Linked DNA regions of Xenopus tropicalis. The protein of the gene in region 1 interacts with the protein of each later gene in a pairwise test. Links are inferred from orthologs where the notes say so. Each region holds a gene or a part of one and is shown in the gene's direction. Other genes may lie near its edges.

The links.
Region 2: the proteins of pacsin1 (region 1) and cobll1 interact in binary tests that used the Homo sapiens proteins (3 or more experiments, as listed by UniProt). The link is inferred for Xenopus tropicalis from reciprocal best matches to the Homo sapiens genes PACSIN1 and COBLL1.
Region 3: the proteins of pacsin1 (region 1) and ehbp1 interact in a two-hybrid assay, tested with the Homo sapiens proteins (2 studies listed by BioGRID and IntAct). The link is inferred for Xenopus tropicalis from reciprocal best matches to the Homo sapiens genes PACSIN1 and EHBP1.
Region 4: the proteins of pacsin1 (region 1) and cobl interact in binary tests that used the Homo sapiens proteins (3 or more experiments, as listed by UniProt). The link is inferred for Xenopus tropicalis from reciprocal best matches to the Homo sapiens genes PACSIN1 and COBL.
Region 5: the proteins of pacsin1 (region 1) and jade2 interact in a two-hybrid assay, tested with the Homo sapiens proteins (2 studies listed by BioGRID and IntAct). The link is inferred for Xenopus tropicalis from reciprocal best matches to the Homo sapiens genes PACSIN1 and JADE2.
Region 6: the proteins of pacsin1 (region 1) and ankrd24 interact in a two-hybrid assay, tested with the Homo sapiens proteins (2 studies listed by BioGRID and IntAct). The link is inferred for Xenopus tropicalis from reciprocal best matches to the Homo sapiens genes PACSIN1 and ANKRD24.

Annotation. Positions count from the first base shown.
Region 1 is NC_030678.2:69,277,115-69,280,318, reverse strand, and holds the end of pacsin1 (protein kinase C and casein kinase substrate in neurons protein 1), read left to right. Parts: intron 1-2,147; coding exon 2,148-2,257; 3' UTR 2,258-2,704; downstream 2,705-3,204. UniProt on the Homo sapiens protein: Plays a role in the reorganization of the microtubule cytoskeleton via its interaction with MAPT; this decreases microtubule stability and inhibits MAPT-induced microtubule polymerization.
Region 2 is NC_030685.2:70,751,680-70,755,179, forward strand, and holds part of cobll1 (cordon-bleu protein-like 1), read left to right. Parts: intron 1-2,340; coding exon 2,341-2,496; intron 2,497-3,500.
Region 3 is NC_030681.2:33,085,162-33,088,661, reverse strand, and holds part of ehbp1 (EH domain-binding protein 1), read left to right. Parts: intron 1-1,070; coding exon 1,071-1,193; intron 1,194-1,981; coding exon 1,982-2,228; intron 2,229-3,500. UniProt on the Homo sapiens protein: May play a role in actin reorganization. Links clathrin-mediated endocytosis to the actin cytoskeleton. May act as Rab effector protein and play a role in vesicle trafficking.
Region 4 is NC_030682.2:60,310,254-60,313,753, reverse strand, and holds part of cobl (protein cordon-bleu), read left to right. Parts: intron 1-29; coding exon 30-278; coding exon of another isoform or gene 279-287; exon of another isoform or gene 288-368; intron 369-3,500.
Region 5 is NC_030679.2:26,415,334-26,419,430, reverse strand, and holds the start of jade2 (protein Jade-2), read left to right. Parts: upstream 1-1,297; 5' UTR 1,298-3,677; intron 3,678-4,097. UniProt on the Homo sapiens protein: Scaffold subunit of some HBO1 complexes, which have a histone H4 acetyltransferase activity. Acts as an E3 ubiquitin-protein ligase mediating the ubiquitination and subsequent proteasomal degradation of target protein histone demethylase KDM1A.
Region 6 is NC_030677.2:94,059,185-94,062,684, forward strand, and holds part of ankrd24 (ankyrin repeat domain-containing protein 24), read left to right. Parts: intron 1-138; coding exon 139-315; intron 316-1,679; coding exon 1,680-1,734; intron 1,735-2,975; coding exon 2,976-3,058; intron 3,059-3,145; coding exon 3,146-3,500. UniProt on the Homo sapiens protein: Component of the stereocilia rootlet in hair cells of inner ear.

The DNA of each region.
Region 1 (3,204 bases):
AGTAGGAGCAACAGGACTTTTCAGCTGGCATTCAGTGCATGCAGAGTAGAGATGGAGGCAATCGTCAGAAGTCCACAATTCGGCAGCACGCTCCAGATAGTAGAAAAGCTGCAACAGTTACAGTTTAAAATCATTCAGTCCTTATTAACACATCTATACAGCTTGAGGTCTAGCGCTTTTCATACCAGTGGACTAGTCCTTAATTGGGGGTTTTAGAAAGGAATAGAAAGGATGACCGTAGGACTTAGAGGATGTGATTTACAATCTAAGCTGTTACTTTCAGAAGTTAAGTGGATCTATAAATTTTGTACTAGGCAACCACAAGAACTAAATCGGACATTTGATAAAAGTTGCTACTTTTGAGAGTGGAAATGTTTTAACCAGTGGGCTGCAACAATGTATTTAGTTAAGTGTGTTTTAACATTCCTACAATACATTTTTGCTTAATACAATGTTTGATCCATTAATAGTATACTGAACAATGTTATTCTGATGAACCAGCACATTGGATAGGCTTGTGGAAGATATGTTTATTAATTCATTAATCAATTTATTAATTGTTGTATTTATTTAGACAAATTATGTGGTTATTTTATGGGAGGTTTTATGGGTATATATTTCCTGTGCTGACTAAGGGAAGGAGGTCTCTGAGGAAGTGTGCTAGCATAAAACATGTTAGACTTTGAGCTGTATAGATGTGCTTGCTAATAAAGACTGAACACTTTTAAACTTTAACTGTTGTGGTTTTTAAACTATCTCGGGTGCACTGCCAAATTGTGGATTTCTGACAATTGTGTCTCGCCCTGGCTACAGACTTGGGGCAGGAGCTGTATGGTAAGCAGATTATTTGTTCTATGTGAGAGCAGGGGATCTGACCCAGTGAGAGATCTAAAATTCAGATGCAGGGTCCAGGGCAAGTTGCACTCAAACCATAGAATTTAACCAGCGAGCTGCCCGGGGGAAGGCGGGATCCATAACTGCTGATATTGAATGGATGCCTGGAGTATATTGTAAACTAATTCCTAAATTTAGTGCCTTGAATTCATTGATTCAATCAGAGATGGAGGCAATGCCCTGTAGATTGATTTAGTGTATAACTATATGTGGAGATAAAATGGGTGGGAAAATATTTGAATGACATATTTTACATCAACTTCTGAAATTTCATAGAGCAGTACATATTTATTTGAGGACATGCTGACACACCCATTCGCAGTGAAAGCTCTATGCTGCCTAAACAATGACATCCAGACACCAAGAACTGAAAATATAGAACACCAAGAATTAAGAATACTTTAAATGTATGGGTAGGTTGGCCAGCCACTTTAATCGACTCATTCAAATATATATATAAAAAGAGGTCTCATATAGCTAGAAATAATTCCTAAAATAGTTCAAAAATATGTTAAATAGCCCCCAGCAGTTTAATGGAGAATGGAGTTGTTCATAAAGCAGATTTCAGCAGAAGCTAAAATACAGTCAGTTCAGGGAATGGAGTGAAAATGTCAGATGGACTATAGATGAGGTAATGGAAACCAAAACTGTTAAAACTGTTGTCAGTCTTTAAAAAGAAGCAGATCACACTTCAACATAGTTATAGATAGAGACAGGCGCATGTAGGCATACTTCTATGCAATCATCATTTGAGCCATTTAGTAGGTCAGTATTAGCAACAGAATGACTTGGGTGTTTCCCTGTACCATTCAAAACATTGCCAAACTTCTTTCTGTAAAGACATTCATCCATATCTTAGCCTTTAGTTCCCAGTCTGAAAGTGTTTCCATTAAACGTCCTTAGAAGTGATCAACATCTTGCCAGCCCTCTCTTCAGAAAAGCTAAGTTCTTCTCTCACCTCTGCCGTTTTGTGAGATATATAGCAGTTTGAAGACTTGGAATTGATTTATCTGATATTCAAACCATTATGAGACAATCCACCCATGCTAAAGCACTCAATTCTGCAGTTGGAAATTAATTCTAATGTAGATATCATTTATAACTTCTTATAAATTTAACATATAGGTAACATTTAAATTCTGTATATGACTGATTTCAGAAAAGTAGAAATTACAAATTATTTCTGCACAATGAAGGTTATTTTAAAAGGATATATTGTAATACCTGCTAATCTTTTCTTTTTTCTTTTTAAGGTGAGGAACTAACCAAACTAGAGGATGAAGACGAGCAGGGCTGGTGCAGAGGGCAACTGGACAGTGGGCGGCAGGGCCTCTATCCTGCCAATTATGTAGAGTCCATATAAAGGCACCTGGACACATTAATCAGACTATACATCATCCTTTAAGAAAACTTCCTTTTTCCCCCACTTATGCTACCAACCATACCTCGCAGTCCTGAACTGCAAAAATAGTACTAGTAGTGCTTAGATGGCAGTAAAGCATTATCCTGATATTTCCTGATTGCAATCATAATGGGTGTTTATCTTAACACAATTCCTGCTCTGTCACTTTGTTTTCTACACATATTGACATATTGCACACATCATGTTTTTAATGCATTATCTTTAATGTGACAGGATAAGGTAAGGGCAAGGGATCCTTGTTATATATTCTTATTTGAATATTTGTCCTTTGATACTCTTGACATATTTACACTCTCTGTATTGAGTGTCAGTGTCTACAAAAACTCCTTTTATAGGGTTTAATATTACTTCTTCATAGGGATACAAACAAGATCATTTCTGAGTAGCACTATGTATATCACTTATTTTACCACTTATATTTATTCAAACCAAACTGAATTGGGATAAATATCTAAGTAGCTATTGTGCTCTCATACTAGAAAATCTGCATTTCTGGTTAAAAAAGAGAAATTTGGCTCTTAAAATTACCAGGGGTAGCCATGTGACACCCCTAGTAACATGCCACTGGAGGCTAGTTTTTACTTTAAAGGAATAGTTCAGTGTAAATGGGTAAAACAGAGACTGCACAAAAAAAAAAGTATTTATAATATAGTTAGTTAGGCAGAAATGTAATCAATAAAGGCTGGAGTGAACAGATGTCTAACATAATAGCCAGAACATTACTTCCAGCTTTCAGCCCTCTAACCTCTTAGTCAGCGACTTTGTGGGGGCGGTACATGGGACATAACTGTTCAGTTAGTTTGTGAGCATGCAGAGAGCAATAAAGGAGGAAGTAGTATTCTGGCTATTATGTTAGACATCCATTCACTCCAGCCTTTATAGATTAC
Region 2 (3,500 bases), on another chromosome or scaffold:
AGTAGGGCATAAATCCCTTAAATCGCTGTAATTTCTCCAAATGACCTACAGGGTGAGCTGTTGGACCACTATGTGAAATTTTGGCCCCTGTATATTCAAGGTTGGCCAGTGACCCGTTTATATGAGGAGCTGTCAATTCCTGTTTTGTACAAACAACTCCAGAAATCCAGTATTGGTTTTTTTGCTCCACAGAAAATATTTTTGCTGATATTGGGCTGACATCAATCATACTGTAAATTTCACCTTTTCAACTGATTTACGAGAGAGTTAAAGCATGGCATGGTAATTATTATATAGGTATAGGACCCGTTATCCAGAATGCTCGGGACCAAGGGTATTCTGGATAAGGGCTCTTTCCGTAATTTGGATCTCCATACCTTAAGTCTACTAAAAAATCAATAAAACATTAATTAAACCCAATAGGATTGTTTTGCATCCAATAAGGATTATTTACATCTTAGTTGGGATCAATTACAATTACTGTTTTATTATTACAGAGAAAAAGGAAATCAGTTTTAAAATTATGAATTATTTAATTAAAATGGAGTCTATGGGAGAGCTTTCTGGATAATGGGTTTCCGGATAAGGGATCCCATACCTGTAATATCTTTTGTTCATTTTGGTCATCCCCAAGTCTGCTTCAAAGAGAACATAGATTTGTATAACTCATTATTGAAACTATGGAGGAGAGAAATTAAAGTCCGAACCCCTAGTAACACCAATTATATTTCTTAATAGGTCACTACCTGTGTTTAACTTTGTTTAGCCTGCTGTAGCACTATCCTGGTATAACTTTACTGAAGATATTTAAAGGGGAACTCCACCCAAATACAACTTAAGCTCTTTGAAAAGTAAGCTTTCAAGTTAAACATGTGCAGCCTTTTCCTGATATTTAATGTAATAATATGGTTTGGAGCAGTTCTCTAAGCCCCCTGTTCTCCTGCTGATCTGACTGACTACTTTTGAGACTCAAATAAAAAAAAAAAGTATGTAACAGTAGTCGACTGCTCTCAGCCTGCCTTCGGCCTGCTTTCTTCAAGTCCCACAATTCCCTGCACATGGGATGTCGATAAGGAAAGGAACATCACAGTGCAATGCATTGTAGGTTATGTAGTTGCATGCTGTCTGTAAGCTGTGGAGAAGTTAGCAACAATTAGCAACATCAGTGTTTTAGTCCCTCCTCCCCTGCCAGGATTTCAAACGATGCAGAAAGAGAAGAACTGTTTTGCAGCTGGTTTTCAGCATATAAAAATGGTATTTGTTTATAATTCTTTAGCAAACAGTTTAGTGCTACGTATATTTGGGGTTTCAGTGTTGTGTGGGGCTCTTTAACAAATTTTGGGTCAGAGTTCCTCTTAATGGGGCAAATAACTCCATAATTTTCTCATCATGCAATAACATTGAGTGCTGAAGTTTGTCTTTCTTGCTCTAATATATCCTGACTCCATGTCCCAAGGCTCTTAAAAAGTCTACATAATCTTTTCAAGGATACTGTACGTGAACCCGCCAAAGTCTTAAGTGATATCACTGTCTCATACATAAGGATTCTTCGCTATTCTAGCCATTTAAAGAATAAGTATACCTATTAAACCCCCAATTTTTATCTGTACAATTTATCTGTATAGCCCCTAGAATAACATACCTTTCTACCTGTTTGTAGGTTCTTTTTTATGTCCTTCTATTACAAGCAGCTGAACAGCAGTTCTTTTAGTTACTTCCTTGTCTAGCGTGAAGCTCCTCCCCTTTAACTTTCGAAGCCCTCCTTCTCTCTCTAACTGTGATGACCTCAAAGAGGTGCCTAATGCGTGTGCCTGATTGATTTTAATTGGAGCAGAGGCCGTGAGCATGCCCAGTAGGGCAAGTAAGTAACCAAAATAACTGCAGTTCAGCTGCTTGTAATAGAGAAGCAAAATAAACCTGCATGTATTTTATTCTGGGGGCTGTACAGAGTAATTTTTGAACCTTATGGCACAAGGAGAAATATATCAGCACTTTATGTTCAATGTTTGCTGGAACCTAAACAGTTAATGCCTGAGACCTGGTGTTAATTTAGTAGGCATTATCTTTTTCTTTCTTCGAGTAATGATCTCGAGGGTGCGGCCTTGGTCCAGTTAGAGAGATTCACTTGTAAGCGCCTATATCCCAGTGAGAACAAAATAAAGCCGACGAAAATGAACTCCTTTTTTAATTTTGTTTAATGTTTCTGTTTTTTTACATAAACATTTTGATAACAATATTTGTTATATGTGAAAATTAATGTTGATGTACTTGTTTTTGTTACCCGTAATCACTTTGTTTAACCTTAACAAGACTTATTATGTGAGTCGTTTTCTATTCTAGACACTAACCCCTGAAATAAAATACAGAGTGCATAGCCCGCCACCAGTTGCAGAGAAAAAGACTACTGTATCTTTTGACACTTCTGACCCAGAACTCATCCGGCAGAATTTACTGGCTGCCATTCGCTCTGGAGAAGCTGCCGCTAACTTGAAAAGGGTGAGTGGCCACCAATGAGGGCCTGCAAAATGTCTCAAAGGCTGAGATTTCACAAGCCATATTGGAGCTGCCATATTGCTTGTCTCAACAGAAATAAGAACAGATTGTAGCTGACAACAGTAAGCATAAATGGTTGTTTTTGAAAATCAAGCGTCTAGAGCACTGATAGATTTGTCAAAGCAAGCAAACTAATGCTCACATTGATTATCATTTATTATCAAGTGCAGAGAAGATATGATATCTTCACACAATACGCTATAAATGTATTAGCCCAGACTCTAATCACATAACAGTCCTAATATTTGTATGTCCCATATATAGTAACCATTATATAACTACTAAGATGACCAGCTATGAACCATTATTAGAAAAAAGTTGGTTGAAGTTCTTGAAGTGGGAGATTGAGTTTTAGACAATATGTATAGCAATAGGGAAGTTTTTATAGGTATATTTAAAAGTTCTCTCCAAGAATATGTCCATCTAGTAGAGAACTTGGGTGGTTATACATTGGCATTTGCCCATTTATTGACTTCCCCACAGCCTGAAGGTCACATTCTTTGTTAAAGCATTTAACCAGTGGCCAAATGAGTCGATATGAATGGATGTGAGATGTAGCTTTAGCACTTCCCACTTCTACATGTATCGATTTGGTTTATTGGTCTTCTTCATGGAAATGCAGGAATGCCTTAGCCCCAGTTAGACCACCTTAATGGAAGGTGCCTTATAACACCCTCAGGCTATATAATGAGTGAGGTAAAACTTGTCTTGGGGGAAGCTTGGTGAAGAAAAAGGTGCTGCACATTCTACTGATGGACATGCTCATCAAAAACAAGGTACAGGTATGGGACCTGTTATCCAGAATGCTCAGAACCTGAGGTTTTCCAGATAAGGGATCTTTCTGTAATTTGGATCTCTATAAGTCTACAAAAAAATCACTTAACCATTAAATAAACCCAATAGGATTGTTTTGCCTCCAATAAGGGGTAATTATATCTTAGTTGGGA
Region 3 (3,500 bases), on another chromosome or scaffold:
GCTATGAGAGCAATACTAATAGGCGCTTTTATGGATCTGCTGTGAGACCAACATACACAGGCAGGCTGTGAGAGCAACTTTATAGCAACTCTAACATGTCTAGTGCTTGTAATGTTTTCATGTTGTACCCATAGCAATGCTTGCTAACATTGGCCTGCTCTTAAAGTACCCATAGTAACACAGATAGGACTAGTGCTGTTCTGCCAGGACACCCCTAGAAATGCCTGTCAGCACTGGGTATAGATTAGAAAGTATTATATACACTCTCTAAATATTTAAAGGGGCTAGAAGAGGCTATTTAGAAGTTTGTGTAGATACAAAAGCATGCCTTAGACTGGTGGTTCATTATCCTGTAAATCCAAATCAGAAATATTTAGTGGTGTCCTTAATCTGTATTCTCATATTTAAAGGTCCGCTTTAGCTGGATATTTTTGATTTACACATGAAATGAGGGAGAGGAGGTGGGCTAACAACATTCCTACAATTGAACATTCAATTGAATGTACAATTTTCCCTTGTGACCTCTATAACTGAATGTAGAACTAGAATGTACCATAAGTTCCACACTGCACAGAGGAATCTCCGCCACTTCAGAAGCAGCGCATATTTCCTCACAGATTGGCAGCACAGCATATTGTGCTTTGTTGTAAATTCACTCCACAAGACACCCCTTCCAGCACATGGTGACACCAGCCACACACAGTTCCGCATGTATTGTGTATGCAGCTTTCACCTTCTCTGCAGCAAAACTGTACACCTGTGTTTGTACTGTATGGTTTAAAGGTTGCCGGGCCATTGATTCTGCATGTGCCCTTCTATGTGGAAATGTGAGTTCGCTATTAAGTAATCATTGATTTTAGGCACCAGTTATGCCTAATGTGCTATGTTTTGTTTCTTTCAGTTTCTACGTGGGCATGATCTTTTCATTTCATTTGGTTAACTTTGCATTCACTGCAGAGCGCATATGTTTACATACACCTGTAGTGACGCCACAATGTGCCGATGCCCATGTTACACTATTCTTGTTGTTCCTTCTTGGGGATTTGAATGATGTCTTTGTTTGTTCTTAGAACTTATAAATAAGTTAAACTTTCTGGATGAAGAGGAACGCGATTTGATGAACTCAAGCTCCAACCCGTTTGAAAGCTCTGACGTGGCTGATTTTAATCCGTTTGGCGATCCTGACGCAGAAGGTAAAGACAGAATTTTGGAGATGCTTTTGTTTCTGACACATTTGTCCTGAGAATTTAGCTGATCAGAGTAAAATGAGCAACTTTTATCCATGTGTATCTTAATATTTAGTTATTTTGCAAGCAGTTTTATAGGAATTGGATTTAGCCATATAACTAATATTTACTGTGCAATTAGCCATGTCTGAAGTGCTGTGAAGTGCTAACCCTATGCATGACCCCCAGTATATCGGAACAGCACCTGAAATATTGAAATAATGCCTGTATCTTTTCAAAATCTGGGGGCCTTATTTTGTGGATTATAAATTTTCTGCATAGTATCCATTTAACCCGTTATCCAGAAAGCTCCAAATTGTGAAATGGCCATTTCACCTAGACCCCATTGTAATCAAATTATTTAACATTTTTTAAATGATTCCTTTTTCTATGTAATAATAAAACAGTACCTTGTGCTTGATCCCAGCTAAATACAATGTATCCTTATTGGAGGCAAAACAGTCCTTTGGGTTTAATTAATGTTTAAATGATTTAAATGATTTTTTAGCAGAAAAAGTATGGTGATCCAAATTACAGACCCCTTATCTAGAAAACCCCAGGTCCCGAGCCTTCTGGATAACAGGTCCCATACCTATAAAAGCATATTAGCATATAGCAATTTAATAGGTGTAATTCTGTTCACATTTGAATGCCTAGCTCTGCTTCTAGAGATTGCAAATTAGTTTTTTAATATGATCTTCTTTATTTAATGATTAACTTACCCCTTGAAATAATTTTGACTGTTTGTGTATTAGAAAATCCTTCTGAGCAAGCACCTTCAAAGTCTGACGACTTATTTGATGACTACAATCCTTTTAAAGAACCTGAGCCTGCAGTTTATATAAATCCTTTTGATGAGCCTGATACAGAGCAAGACCAGGTCCTTGAGCTTAGTAAGGACTCTCCACCTCAACCAGCAAAGAGAAAAAACACCCGCCCTGTGGATATGAGCAAGTACCTCTACGCTAACAAAGCTAGGCAAGAGGAGGAGGATCTTGATGAGTAAGTGGAATCAATATGTTTTAAAGTCTGCTAACAATTCTTGAAGGGCAAGTAGTACTCGAACTTTAGTTCCTCTAAACCAAAAGAGTTGTCTGCAAACATGTGACACATATATTAACTGTGTGTTTATTCTGAAAAGGAGAAAACATTTAGAATTATACTGTAACATGGTAAAAGTTTACCTAGCTTGATCAGGCAGATGGCCCAAATGAGCAGTTTTAGCAGAAAGTAACTAATGATCATTTGGTGAGTAAGTGGGAGGAGCTTCAGTTATTTTCTGAAACCAGGAGACTTATCATAAAATATTTCTCCTCCACCAAGCATGAAAGGATTCTATCATGGGAAAACAAAAGAGCAAACTACTGAAGACATGACAATTAAGAAACACTACTTTCCTTTATACATATGTATGTATGTATAACTTTATTTATAAAGCACCACAAGGGTATGCAGCGCTGTACAATCTTACAATATACAAAATTACACACAGGGAGGACAAGTGTTATAATAAATACAATAAATAATACACAGGGAGTAAGTGCCATGTGGTATGAGACACAGTAGGAAGGAGGTCCCTGCCCCGTACATATACATTTAATATACAGGTACCAGATCCTTGTTAGTTCTAATAAAAGCTTTTTCACACTCTTCATTGTAAATCTGAAAGTGATGCGGCTCTGGAACTCTGATTGGTCTGGCTGTCCTGTCCCTTGTACCAGTGGCAATTAATAACCTTGTAGCCTGTGACTTTGTCAGCTCTGTGTCTCTAGGCATAGCTCTTAATCTCCCTGTACCCAAGACACCAAATTTAGTCTATAAGCACTATGGGTCAGGGACTAAAAGTGGCCATACACTGGTCCTTTAGACTGATTTGGCAGCTTATCTGCCATTGTATGGGTACCCCCGATGGGCCACCCTGATCAGGTAGGTTTGATTTTCCTGTCAGGGCATTGATGCAATCCTTTCCCCTGATGGCTCCTACCCCTTCATTTTAATGTGATCATTTGGCCCTAGGGCCAAAAAATCAGATTAGCTTGATACCCCCCAACTTAGGTGAACGTATCAGGGAAAAGATCCACTCATTTGGCTACCTCGCCAAAGGAGCAGATCTTACAGTGTATGACCACCTTTACAGTGCATAAATAAATCTATTTATATCAACAGTCCTTTATGAGAATAAAGATTTAATATAACAGTCAAATTAATATAATGATAATATTATAAATATACATTTTGCTAAATCTTTATAGGATTTCCTTATTAAATAAAGGA
Region 4 (3,500 bases), on another chromosome or scaffold:
TGCTTCTATTAATGTACTTTTTTCTTCAGACTTCATCTACTGTATCAAATGAGCTTCAGTCTGTGAGAAATGCAGAGCCTGTCAAAGAGGCAGAAAAGGAACATAATGTGCTGCAATCAATTCCACCTCCACCATTAATGCCTCCTCCACCACCGCCGCCACCTGTGCTAAAATCATCTGCTATGGTGTCTCCTACCACTACAGCTAACTCTCTAAATGCAAGGGACGCCTTAATGGAAGCTATTCGCTCAGGTGCTGGTGCTGCAAGACTCAAAAAGGTAGTGTAATGCTACATGCGGAATGTTCTGTATCCTCTGTAAATTTATTTGGCAGTACAGCAAATAAAGTACTTAATTTTTAATTATTTCCTTAAGGTTAGCGGAATTCAAATTATTTGAATGATTTGAGAATAAAACATATATACTTTTTTATGTTGCCTCCACAGAAATGTGCTTTTTTAGCTGATATTAACAGTCTACACCTACAAGAAGGTTGGCAAACTTATCTTGCAACTATATATATATACATACATATACTGGAACAAGGGCAGCAGTCCTAGGATTTAAAGAATTGTGAGCAAAATGTAAATGTAAAAATAGAAAGGTTTATTATTACTCGACTTTTCGGTCTCACACAGAAACCTTCATCTGGAGTGTTTTTCACTCCAGGTGAAGGTTTCTATGCAAGACCAAAACGCAGAGTAATAAACCTTTTATTTTTACATTTACATTTTGATCACAATTCTTTAAATCCTAGGACTGCTGCCCTTGTTCCAGTGCATTTTTTTTTGGTACTGGCACCCAGGTTTTGTTGCTGCAAATGCACCCTATGGACTATTTTATATATATATATATATATATATATACTTCCACTTCAAGCAGGAGTTCCCGCTATCCTGCTGACATATATATATAAAATATTATATGTAAGGACATCGGAACCTGTTGGGGAAGTGCACCACGTTTTTGTTCTATTGCAGGGTGCTGTACTATCACATATAACAAGAATATATACTGTATATATATATATATATATATATATATATATACAGAAACAGAAAGGAGCACACCCTTCAGGCAAACAAGTGCCCTCGGTGCTGGTCAAAAAAATTTAATAGGCAAACAGAGTACCGCACACATAGGGACTTTATGAAAAAACAAAAAAGGTTTATTGAAAGAGATCCGACGTTTCGAGCACCAAACTGTGCTCTTCCTCAGGGACAAACCAGTCCCTGAGGAAGAGCACAGTTTGGTGCTCGAAACGTCGGATCTCTTTCAATAAACCTTTTTTGTTTTTTCATAAAGTCCCTATGTGTGCGGTACTCTGTTTGCCTATATATATATATATATATATATATATATATACATACTGTATATATATATATATATATATAGAATCCAAAGTGGGGAGCACACCAAATAATTGTACTAAACCTCGGTGCCAGAGCAGGGAAATCTTCTAGCCAAGCAAAAGTGTCGGCACTCATAGGATTTGATCATCAAAGCACAAAAAACAATAAAGGCTTATTCAAATGCAAGCGGTGAAATTTATTTCCAACGTTTCAGTCCTTACCTAGGACTTTCGTCAGGGAATATATATATATATATATATATATATATATATATATATATATATATATATATATATAGTATATGTCTGCATTATTGTGTGAGTAAAGATAAGCAACTGTTCCCCACACCGCTTGAGAGGTTAAATGCACACTGTAACATGCATCAAGATTGTAACAGAGAGATCCAAAGAGTGACAGAAAAGCATTTGACATAGTACTTCCACTTCCATGTGTGCACTTGGTTCATTTAGAGAATTTGAACTTTATGGATTTGTTTTTCTTTTTTCAACACAAATTAACTATGAAACTAAGTAACATTACAATACTAATCAACCCTCAGCTGTCATTACCATGCAGTCTGTAAGACTCTCAGATGAAGGAAGCTATTCTGGCACTTAGCTGGGTTCCCGCTCATTACAGCTATAACCAGTTGCCCAAGTCTTAAAACATTGCCCATGATAATAAAAGCATGAGTATAGCCCAACCAGTTACAGCATGGTATGTGATATAACCCATGGCCCAGTCAGGCAAACTGTCCCAGCACTATTGAAGATCCCTTAATGGGTCATAAGATACTGGTAAGATTTGGGGTAAACACTCATTTGCTGTTCTTGAAATTATAACTGAATGACAGATAAACCTATGTTATATTATACCTGTTACCTTGTTAAGAAACTATAGGGGCCATTAAAAAGGTTAGCCCTTCAAAGAAGGATTGAACTGTAAGACCTAAGAAAAACTGCAAAAAAGGGCAGACAGAGCACTGTGAACCTGAGCTCTGGGCTCCATTGGCAAATATGAGGTTATAAATCATTGGTAGCAGAAACCTAGTATTTACTGTAGGTGTGGGTGCCCTAGGTACTGTATATAGGGCAAAGCATATTTTCATTTATCATTTTTTTAGTATATCCTTTGTATTAGCTATGTATTGTAAATAATCCTTTTTGGCAAATATTAAGAGAGTAACTTATTAAATACATTGACCTGTTTTATATAATTAAAAATTTGCTGTACTTTGGGGGGGGGGGACGTAGCTCCAGACAAAAGACAATTAATAAAAAAAATGGACATAGATACCACAGGAGCAGCCTTAGAGCTCACTGGTGCAGGGGAACTTAAATTAAGGTGTTCTAAAGCAGGTCGCATTCAGGCTGGGAACAAGATAAATAAAAGGTTATTTATTTGCAAAATTATCTATTTCTCTGGATGCGCCACAATTATTCTTTTTTGTAGAATTTCTAAACGTAAAATATCATTAGATTGTTCCGTAGATCAGTTAAATTATTTTCCCTGTATAAAAATGACGTAGCTTAATTTCTAAAATATGAAGTTTTTCTTTTGGTCTCCTAATAAATTTGCACAGCAAATACAGGAAAACACACATCCAGGCAGATTGTACACAACTTTGTTGTTTCATTATATTTACCCCCTATGAAATGATGTGGATCAATTTGTAAATTGGTGCAATATGTCCACATTAAATGCTAGGTAAGCATACAAGTAAAGTAGATAGAAACAATAAACATGAGTTACAAAATTCTGTTCATTCCCTTGTGAGTTAAGGAATCCTCTTTTCATCGATATCTATTCCAGCTGGGTCACTGAATGACACTGTTTGCAGTTTACATGTGAAAATGTAGTTCTCAAGTTTATTTACAACCCCAGATGGTCCTTTTCCCACCTCCAGAAGCCAGAGCAAAATATTGTTTAGCCTTGTCCTTTTACCCTTTTTCTGTATCAAGCACAAGGCAAGTACAACACTGCAAGTTTGCAGAGTACATTATGTGCCCACTGAATTCCCAGACTACTAGTAAACACACATCTTCTCTGAAAATTGTTTTTTTGCCAGCGTAATCTCTTAAAAAGCATGACTATTTTTTCAATATTTAGATCTACTTTTATAAAAAGACAAATGTTCATTGGTTATTCA
Region 5 (4,097 bases), on another chromosome or scaffold:
TGCGCATCTATTTAACCCTTAAGTAGCCTGATTTCCATATGCAAATTTGGAGTTGGATTTGGTTTGGTATTCAAAAATAATGGATTCGGTACATCCCTAACCAAAATACAGGATTTGGCCCAAATTCCCAGCACTCTTTTGAAGGATTCAGATAACACTAAGTCCTACTGTTTAGCTAAACTGAGTTAAAACCCACAAAACTTTACTGCTTTGGACAGCTAAACATGATACTTTTTTGTTCCTAGAAGATGCAATTTTTCAATTGTTTTTGTCAGATCTGAATATGCATGCAGATTAGAGTGTTGATATTCAACAGAATCTTTTGTAAAGGATTCAGCATTCGGACAAATAAAAAAATACTTGATTTGGGGCATACCTTAGATGCACTAAAGAACCAACCACAACAAAAAAAAAAAACTAAAAAAATGAATACCTTTCACGTATGTATAAAGCTGGGGACAACTAAACAACACAGATTAATAAAGCCTTGAAAAGAAACAAACTGGCACCTCCAATTTTAACATTATTTAGGGGTTATGTAATAAAAGGCACTAAGTTTGCCCAGGAACAGTAACCAATAGCAACCAATCAGCAGGTAGAATTTACTGGTCACCTGTTTCAAAGCAAACATCCTATTGGTTGCTATGGGTTACTGCTACTGGGCAAACATAGTGCCTTGTATTACATATGGGACATGTGATCTAAACCTTTTCTCAAGAAAACCACATAAGTTTTTATAGAATTAAACATTTTTATTCAATGAATTGTAATTACTATTAAAAGAGGACCATGAAGTCACAAAATTGTACAGGGACACTTTTGTGGGACCTGACCCATAGGTTAAGAGCTGCTGCTCCCACTCACTCTCTCTATAGTGAACAATGTAACACCTATTGTAAAATATGAAGTCCCCTAGGAGATCCATGACTATATAAAAGTCATGTAATTCCAAGGTAATTTCTAACATCCTCATATTTTACAACAGGGGGTACATTATTTATTATAATACACATGTTCCAGTGAGTCACATATCACATTACTAAGCACCAACTGATGACATCACCAAGCACCATATATAAGGATATAATTTACAGGATAATCACGGCTCTTGTGTATAAGATATATTTACTGTTTACATATTTAAAACAATGTATAACATCACCTTATTTAATGGAGTTTTATTAATACAATAGCATATGTCTTTTACATAAACTGGGGCTGTACAGTATGCTCATACTTAGTAGTCCCCTCAAGTACTGTTTACTGTAAACTAAACCTCCTAATACATATATATATATATATATGTATTTATATGTTTAACCACTTCTCATTGGCGTTCTCATTGGTACTTCATTGCCTGATTTGCAAAGGATTTGGGGTTCTGCCGGATCCCAAATAGTGGATTTGGTGCATCCCTATATATTTTTGCTGAATTTTTGTGTAATTGTTCATGTGTTATATAGGAATGAGAAGTATGAAGCCGCTTTACTAAGAATATATGCATAACACCATATGAGTAATGCCAAAAATATGTGATTGGCCTTTATGAACACAGACAAGGGCAGGGGACGCCTATGAAAAAGATTCGGTTTATAACATTATGTTGAACACGAAGTTCCCGACCAAATGGCTCCAGTTAAAAAGGATATTTTGTATGCGAGGTTTCCCAGCTTTGCCAGGTTATGCCTACATTACATTACGCTGGAGGCAGCATCCAGAGCTGATCGCTTGAGGGATATACCAACACGTAAGGGGTAGGCGACAAAGCGGGAAACGGAGGTTGTTTTCACAGAGCCATTTATAAGCGGAAAATTAAGTATATATGAAACGAAGAAACAAGTGCCCCAAGAACAAACCAATGTAAAGGTGGAGCCGCCTGAGCGTTTGCTGTTATTCCCCTCCCCGCGGCACATATCGCCCCGCCAGCAGCTCCTTCCTACTAGTCCCTCAGTGAGCGGCTCTCCCGGGGGAGGGGGCAGAGGAAACACCTGCAGATGTCACGTAACTATTCGAGCGCTGGCTGATCAGCGCCACATTATGAGCAATAAGCAGAGAAAGTTTCCCGGTGCCCTAAGTGCAGCTTATTATAAAGCACCGGCTCCTTACATTCGGGTCTATCCGCAATACCCACATTAATCCCCTCTAAGCATAAAGTGTACTGCTCATAAATAATTGCGCCAAATTCACCAACTCAGTAAATGAATGACAACCTTTTCGCACGTCGCTTTATTCCGTGCAGGAACAATAACTCCCACCTCAGCGGCGGGACATTTATACATTAGTTGGAGCGCTAAAGGCTGTCACTTGTCGAATTAAGGGCTGTCCCCTGAACGTGACTACAGATCTTTCCGCCTCCGGGCATCGTCACAAGCGCTAGCGACCTTATATATTTCTATAGCGCTTAGTCGCACCCCTCTCTGGGCGGCCATGCTATATACTGTTTTATAGCGCAGGAGCTGGGGCGTTAGGGGATAGAAATTCAGAGTTTTCCTTCCGTTCTCCTTTCACCTATCCCAATAAAACTCTCGAATCTCCAACCCACCCCGCCGCCTCTGACTTCTCTCGCACTTGCAAGGGGGTGTCCAGCCCCCAGTCCCTCCTCTGCCTCTTTCTCTCCTCCCTCGGACCCCCCTCCCCTTCGTATCCCAACCCCAAATCAACCTCCTGTTTTCAGAAACCTCTTTTGACGCAGGAGAAATGGCAAATTTGAAGTACGTCATTAACATGGCGCCAAAAGCTTTTTTCCTGTAAGGTTGCTCGCTGGTGGTGCCCAACGCCTGTGCCTGGAGAGGGCTCCGCGGAAAGAAGAGTTAGCGAAGGGGCAGCACAGGGGGGGCCGGGCAAGGGGGTGCAAGTGCAACTAATGAGCACAACTGGGATAAAGTGAAGGCAAAGCAGGGGAGGAGTGCTGTGCTGGGGGATAAGAAAGTGGGCTAGGAAGGGGGAGTGAAGCCGTACTTTGGAGGAGAAGGGGTGAAAAAGAAAAAGGGGAGGGGGGAATTGGAAGAAAAAAGTGTTTTGCTGGGGAGGGAGAATCATTGCGAAACCAACCTGATCTGACTTGTAGCGCAATCCGATACTGCAGCTTTTTTTTTTTTTTTTTCTCAAAAACGTAATTTAACTCTATCCTGTCACAAACACATGAAGGATTGTCAGCTCGAACCCCCAATCAGAGAGGGACCCAGGCAGCACCCCCTCCCCTACCTGCTCCTACAGGCACCCAAAGCCCTTCCAGCATGACACTGCCATAGGACTGAGCGGAAAGTAAAGCCTCGCAGCACCCACCCCCTTTACGAGGAGCCTAACAGGGCTGCGAGCATTCATATCAACACACACACGCATCTGGGGATGGCTACGGGGATCCTGTGCAGCAGCCCAGCGAGGAAGTGTGTGTGAGAGACACAGCGGCCATCTGATACGGGAGTGAGGAACGTCCATCTCACCGGGGGAGCTTTTATTTGTGCATGACAGCCATGGAGTTACTTTGTACCCACTCCTAGAGGGAGAAGGCTGGGGAGAGCGGCTCTGGATACACTCTGCAATGATACACCGCGCACTTTCTCTGGGAGGCTCATGCTCTTTTCTGGGTTTTTTCTCTTCCCCCCACCCCCGTTGGATCCTCCCCTATTTTAACCTGAGCTAATCTCACCAGTGAGGAGACCCCCAAGCAGAGCAAGGTAACAAGCGCAGATGCGTAACCATCTGAAGGGCTGGCGGGGTGCGCGTTTGGCTTTGCTGTCAATTTGCTTTTGGCAGTGGGAGGAGGAGGGCTGACACACACACATGTATCTATATATAAGTGTATTTCTAAAATGTGCAAAGGGAGTTGCCAGTGGGAGCTGGAAGGTTTGTGCTCCATTCGCACCAGTACAGGAGGAGGAAGGGGCCAATGTGCATCACTATTAGGCATTGCGCATGTTGGGGCAGTCATGTTCAGAGTTAGGGGGGCGGGCAGAATTACAAACAACAACTTTTAACCCCTTCAAGGGGCAAGTTTAGCCTCGATTCTCTTCTTCCTGCCTGGGGCGGGGGGATAATGAGGCTTGTTATTATCATGAAAGAAAACGAGCAAACGCCTCTTATTAATGACTGCGGCA
Region 6 (3,500 bases), on another chromosome or scaffold:
TAAAAATGTATTTTGGAGAGTCCTATGTGGCTTAAATTAGTAATTTTAGTTTGGCATTTGTAGCATTAATAGACATTTGTCAGTTTTTTTGGGGGCTCAGCACTTAAACAGTAACTGCTACATGATCCTTTGCTGCAGGATCCATGTACAGTACAGAATACTTCACCTGTCCAGGAAGAGATCATCTCTGATCAGAGTGAACTTACGGAAGCACTGAACTTTCAAGATATTATTGCATCTGATACCAATTGCCTACAGGAACATTATATTACCTTGGAACCTGATTCATACCAAGATCAAATAAAGTTTCAACAGGTCAGTTAAAGAAAGTTATACATTGAAAGCAGTTTCTTATGTATGTATGCATATATGTAAATGTTATTTAAATAGTGCTACTTATGTACACAGGGCTACATACCAGCAGAAAATATACCTGTGCAAAACAGGTCATCTTTCCTAAAGATTAGGGTCAATAAAAAGATTTCACTGTTGGGCCAAGTAATCTACTTACTGTATGACAACTTACCTGTCAGCTAGTCAAACAATTTAAGAGCTTCATAGGCATACTGAATGTTACTATACTATTTGACCATCTGATGTTATATGCTTTTTTATAGGATAATCTTTATTGCATATAAGCAAAGCATAAATGTTTTCTCCATATTTAAATTGTAAGTAATAAAAAGGTACATGCGTAAGAATAGACCCACCCCACCACAAACACAGGGAATATTTTGGGGCAATCCTGGCTACATAGATGTTGCTGTAACTAATATAAACTTATTTCACAGGTTTAAATTTGATAATGAGTAGGGCTACAGTGAGCCTTGAGGCATGTGATGTACCCTAAGCAGAAAAAGAATAGCAGGGTAGTTAACAGTAAACATCAGAGAAAGCAGCAGCAGAAAAAGAATAGCAGGGTAATTAACTGTAAACATCAGAGAAAGCAGCAACACTGATAAATTAGAATGGCATTTGCAATAAATTTTATTCTGTGTGTAAAATTTATTGATAGTGATGATATGTTTCGTACAATGTATTTATAGTATATAAATACCAATCTTCATTGTTCTTAAAGGAAAGAAAAGCAGCACCTGAACATATATCCTATTTCCTCCAACTTCCATGCTGAATATAACAATGTTTTTAATTCTTTCCATTTGATTGCCTACTTTGTTCATTCATTGGCTGATATAACTTAAGGTGGCCATACAGGGGCCGATTTCAGCTGCCGACTGACATCTGGCCTGAAATTGGGCAGCTCTCAGTTAGGAAGGTTCAATTTTCCCGTCGGATTCCGACAGCACCTATGCCTGCCTTTTTAATTCAATTTTTTGGCCCTAGGGCAAAACAATCGTATTAGCCCGATATAGCTCACCAGTATGCCGGCATATTGGGAGCAGATCCTCTTGCTTGGCGACCTTGCCAAACAAGCAGATCTTACAGTGTAGATGTATGTGTTTTTTAATGTGGAATTAGCCACATATTATAACAATAGTAATATAACAGTGCATTTTTTCATGAAAAGGCTTCATTTATATAAAACAGTATTTAACATATGTACTGTGATTTATTTTTGTAGAGACCATCAAGGGTGTAGTAACTTAAATGTGAACTATTTTTAATATTTCTACTTTCCAATCTGGGGAATATATTTTCACCCTTCTTTTTTCCCCTAGGATGTTACACAGTTAGCAGAGGATGATTCTGCTATACAAACAGATTTTGAAACAGGTATGCGCTCCTCTTACTGCAATTTAGCACCACATCTTACAATTTGAATATTATATATAAATAATAGGGGTATCTGTTCAATCCTTAATCTTTAAACACTGGAGGTGCTGTGAGTTCTCCCTTGAATACTCCCAAACCAATCATCAACAAGTAAAGACTCCACTAGGCTACACTTTTTGTACCTAATAAAAAGCACAAAACCTGCTGCCTTCAACTTCATTAAAGTAATGTAACAAAAGGGGCACACATTACTATAGGTCTAGAAACACAATGCAGTCAATCATAAGGTAGCATTTCTGGTAAAAAAAAAAAAAATCTAATAGGCTGCTTTGGGTTTCTAGACCTAAGTAAACTTTGTGCCTTTTATTATATTAACCTCAATGATTTATTAATCTAACAAAATCACAATTTGAAAATTCTTTACCAAACATTAAAATTTATAGGCATTCATTCAAATGACAAGTTCATTATTTATTCCCTTAATAAATCTCAGACAATATTTATATATGATATTATATTATAAAAAGCTATTAATACATCATATGTGACATTATATTACAACAAGCTGTGAATATAATTGCTGTGGTGTACATGTCAGAATTCTTTAACTCTTCAAGTGCCAACTTCTCAACAGGTAGAGAGGATTTTTGAAATATATCTTACTTGTTTTGAACCTCTTCCTGTCTGGGGTGGCAATACAAATGTCTTAGGTCTCAACTGTTTTAGTTCTCAGTTTTCTTTCAGGGTTCTTGTTTCTTGCTTTGGGATTTATGCAAGGCCCAATTCTTCATCAAGACCCTGAGTGCCTTTTTAATGGTTTGGAGGCCAGACATCTTTTGGGTCAGGTGGTTGATACATTACTTAAGGCTAGAATGAGTGTGGGAAAATTATTTGTTGCCATTTCAGTAGAGGGGTTGCTAGTAGTTTTTGGACTTCCTTTAGTCTGGAAAAGTTGCTAAAATATTGAAAAAGTTCATGTTGGGAGTTCACAGGGCTTAGAAACCTATGGTGAAAAGCATGCTTACATTTTCATCAACTGGCTTTGCAGTAGCTGGCTATACACCGAAAGACCCTCCCTTTTTCCTTGATGTGCCCGCCTTAAGGTGAGTGATATCAGATTTGGATCACATTGATGGGATGCAGGCTAATGAGGTGAGGACCATGTATGAGCCAATGCACCGGCAGGGATTTTACACCTGACTGAACAACATCTGCCTGAAATATCTTTGATCTTCATGCAGGATCCCTACAGGAAATAGACACCCTAAAGAAACAAATGCAGAAGCTGAGAGCAGAAAATCAGGAGTTAAAAGATAAAATACAGGCGAGTACATGATAAGCAAGGTGAACATTTTTGAAATTCTAACACTATGGACTGAATCTCAATAAATAACTAATTTTGTCCTTTCAGATACTTGAAAATTATGAGCGGGATGAAAGTGATATGGAAAATTCTTCAGACTTTATTCCACTCATCTTGTATGACTCCCTTCAGAGTCAATATATGCTTCTGCAAGAGCAGCTTAAAGAAACCCAGAATGAGCTGCATGGTTTGCAAAGTTCCACAGAGCAACTGTCCTCTCCCTCTTGCAAACTGATCCCTGCTGATGCTTATGAACAGCTCCGTATTGAGCATGAAGCTCTGAAACAATCCTTTAAGAAGCAACAGACCGCAAAGGGTCTAGAGCAGATTAAGAATGAGGAGGAACTGCAAAATATGGTGGAAGCTAGTAGGCTGCTACAGTGTGAGAAAAGATGTAAAGAAT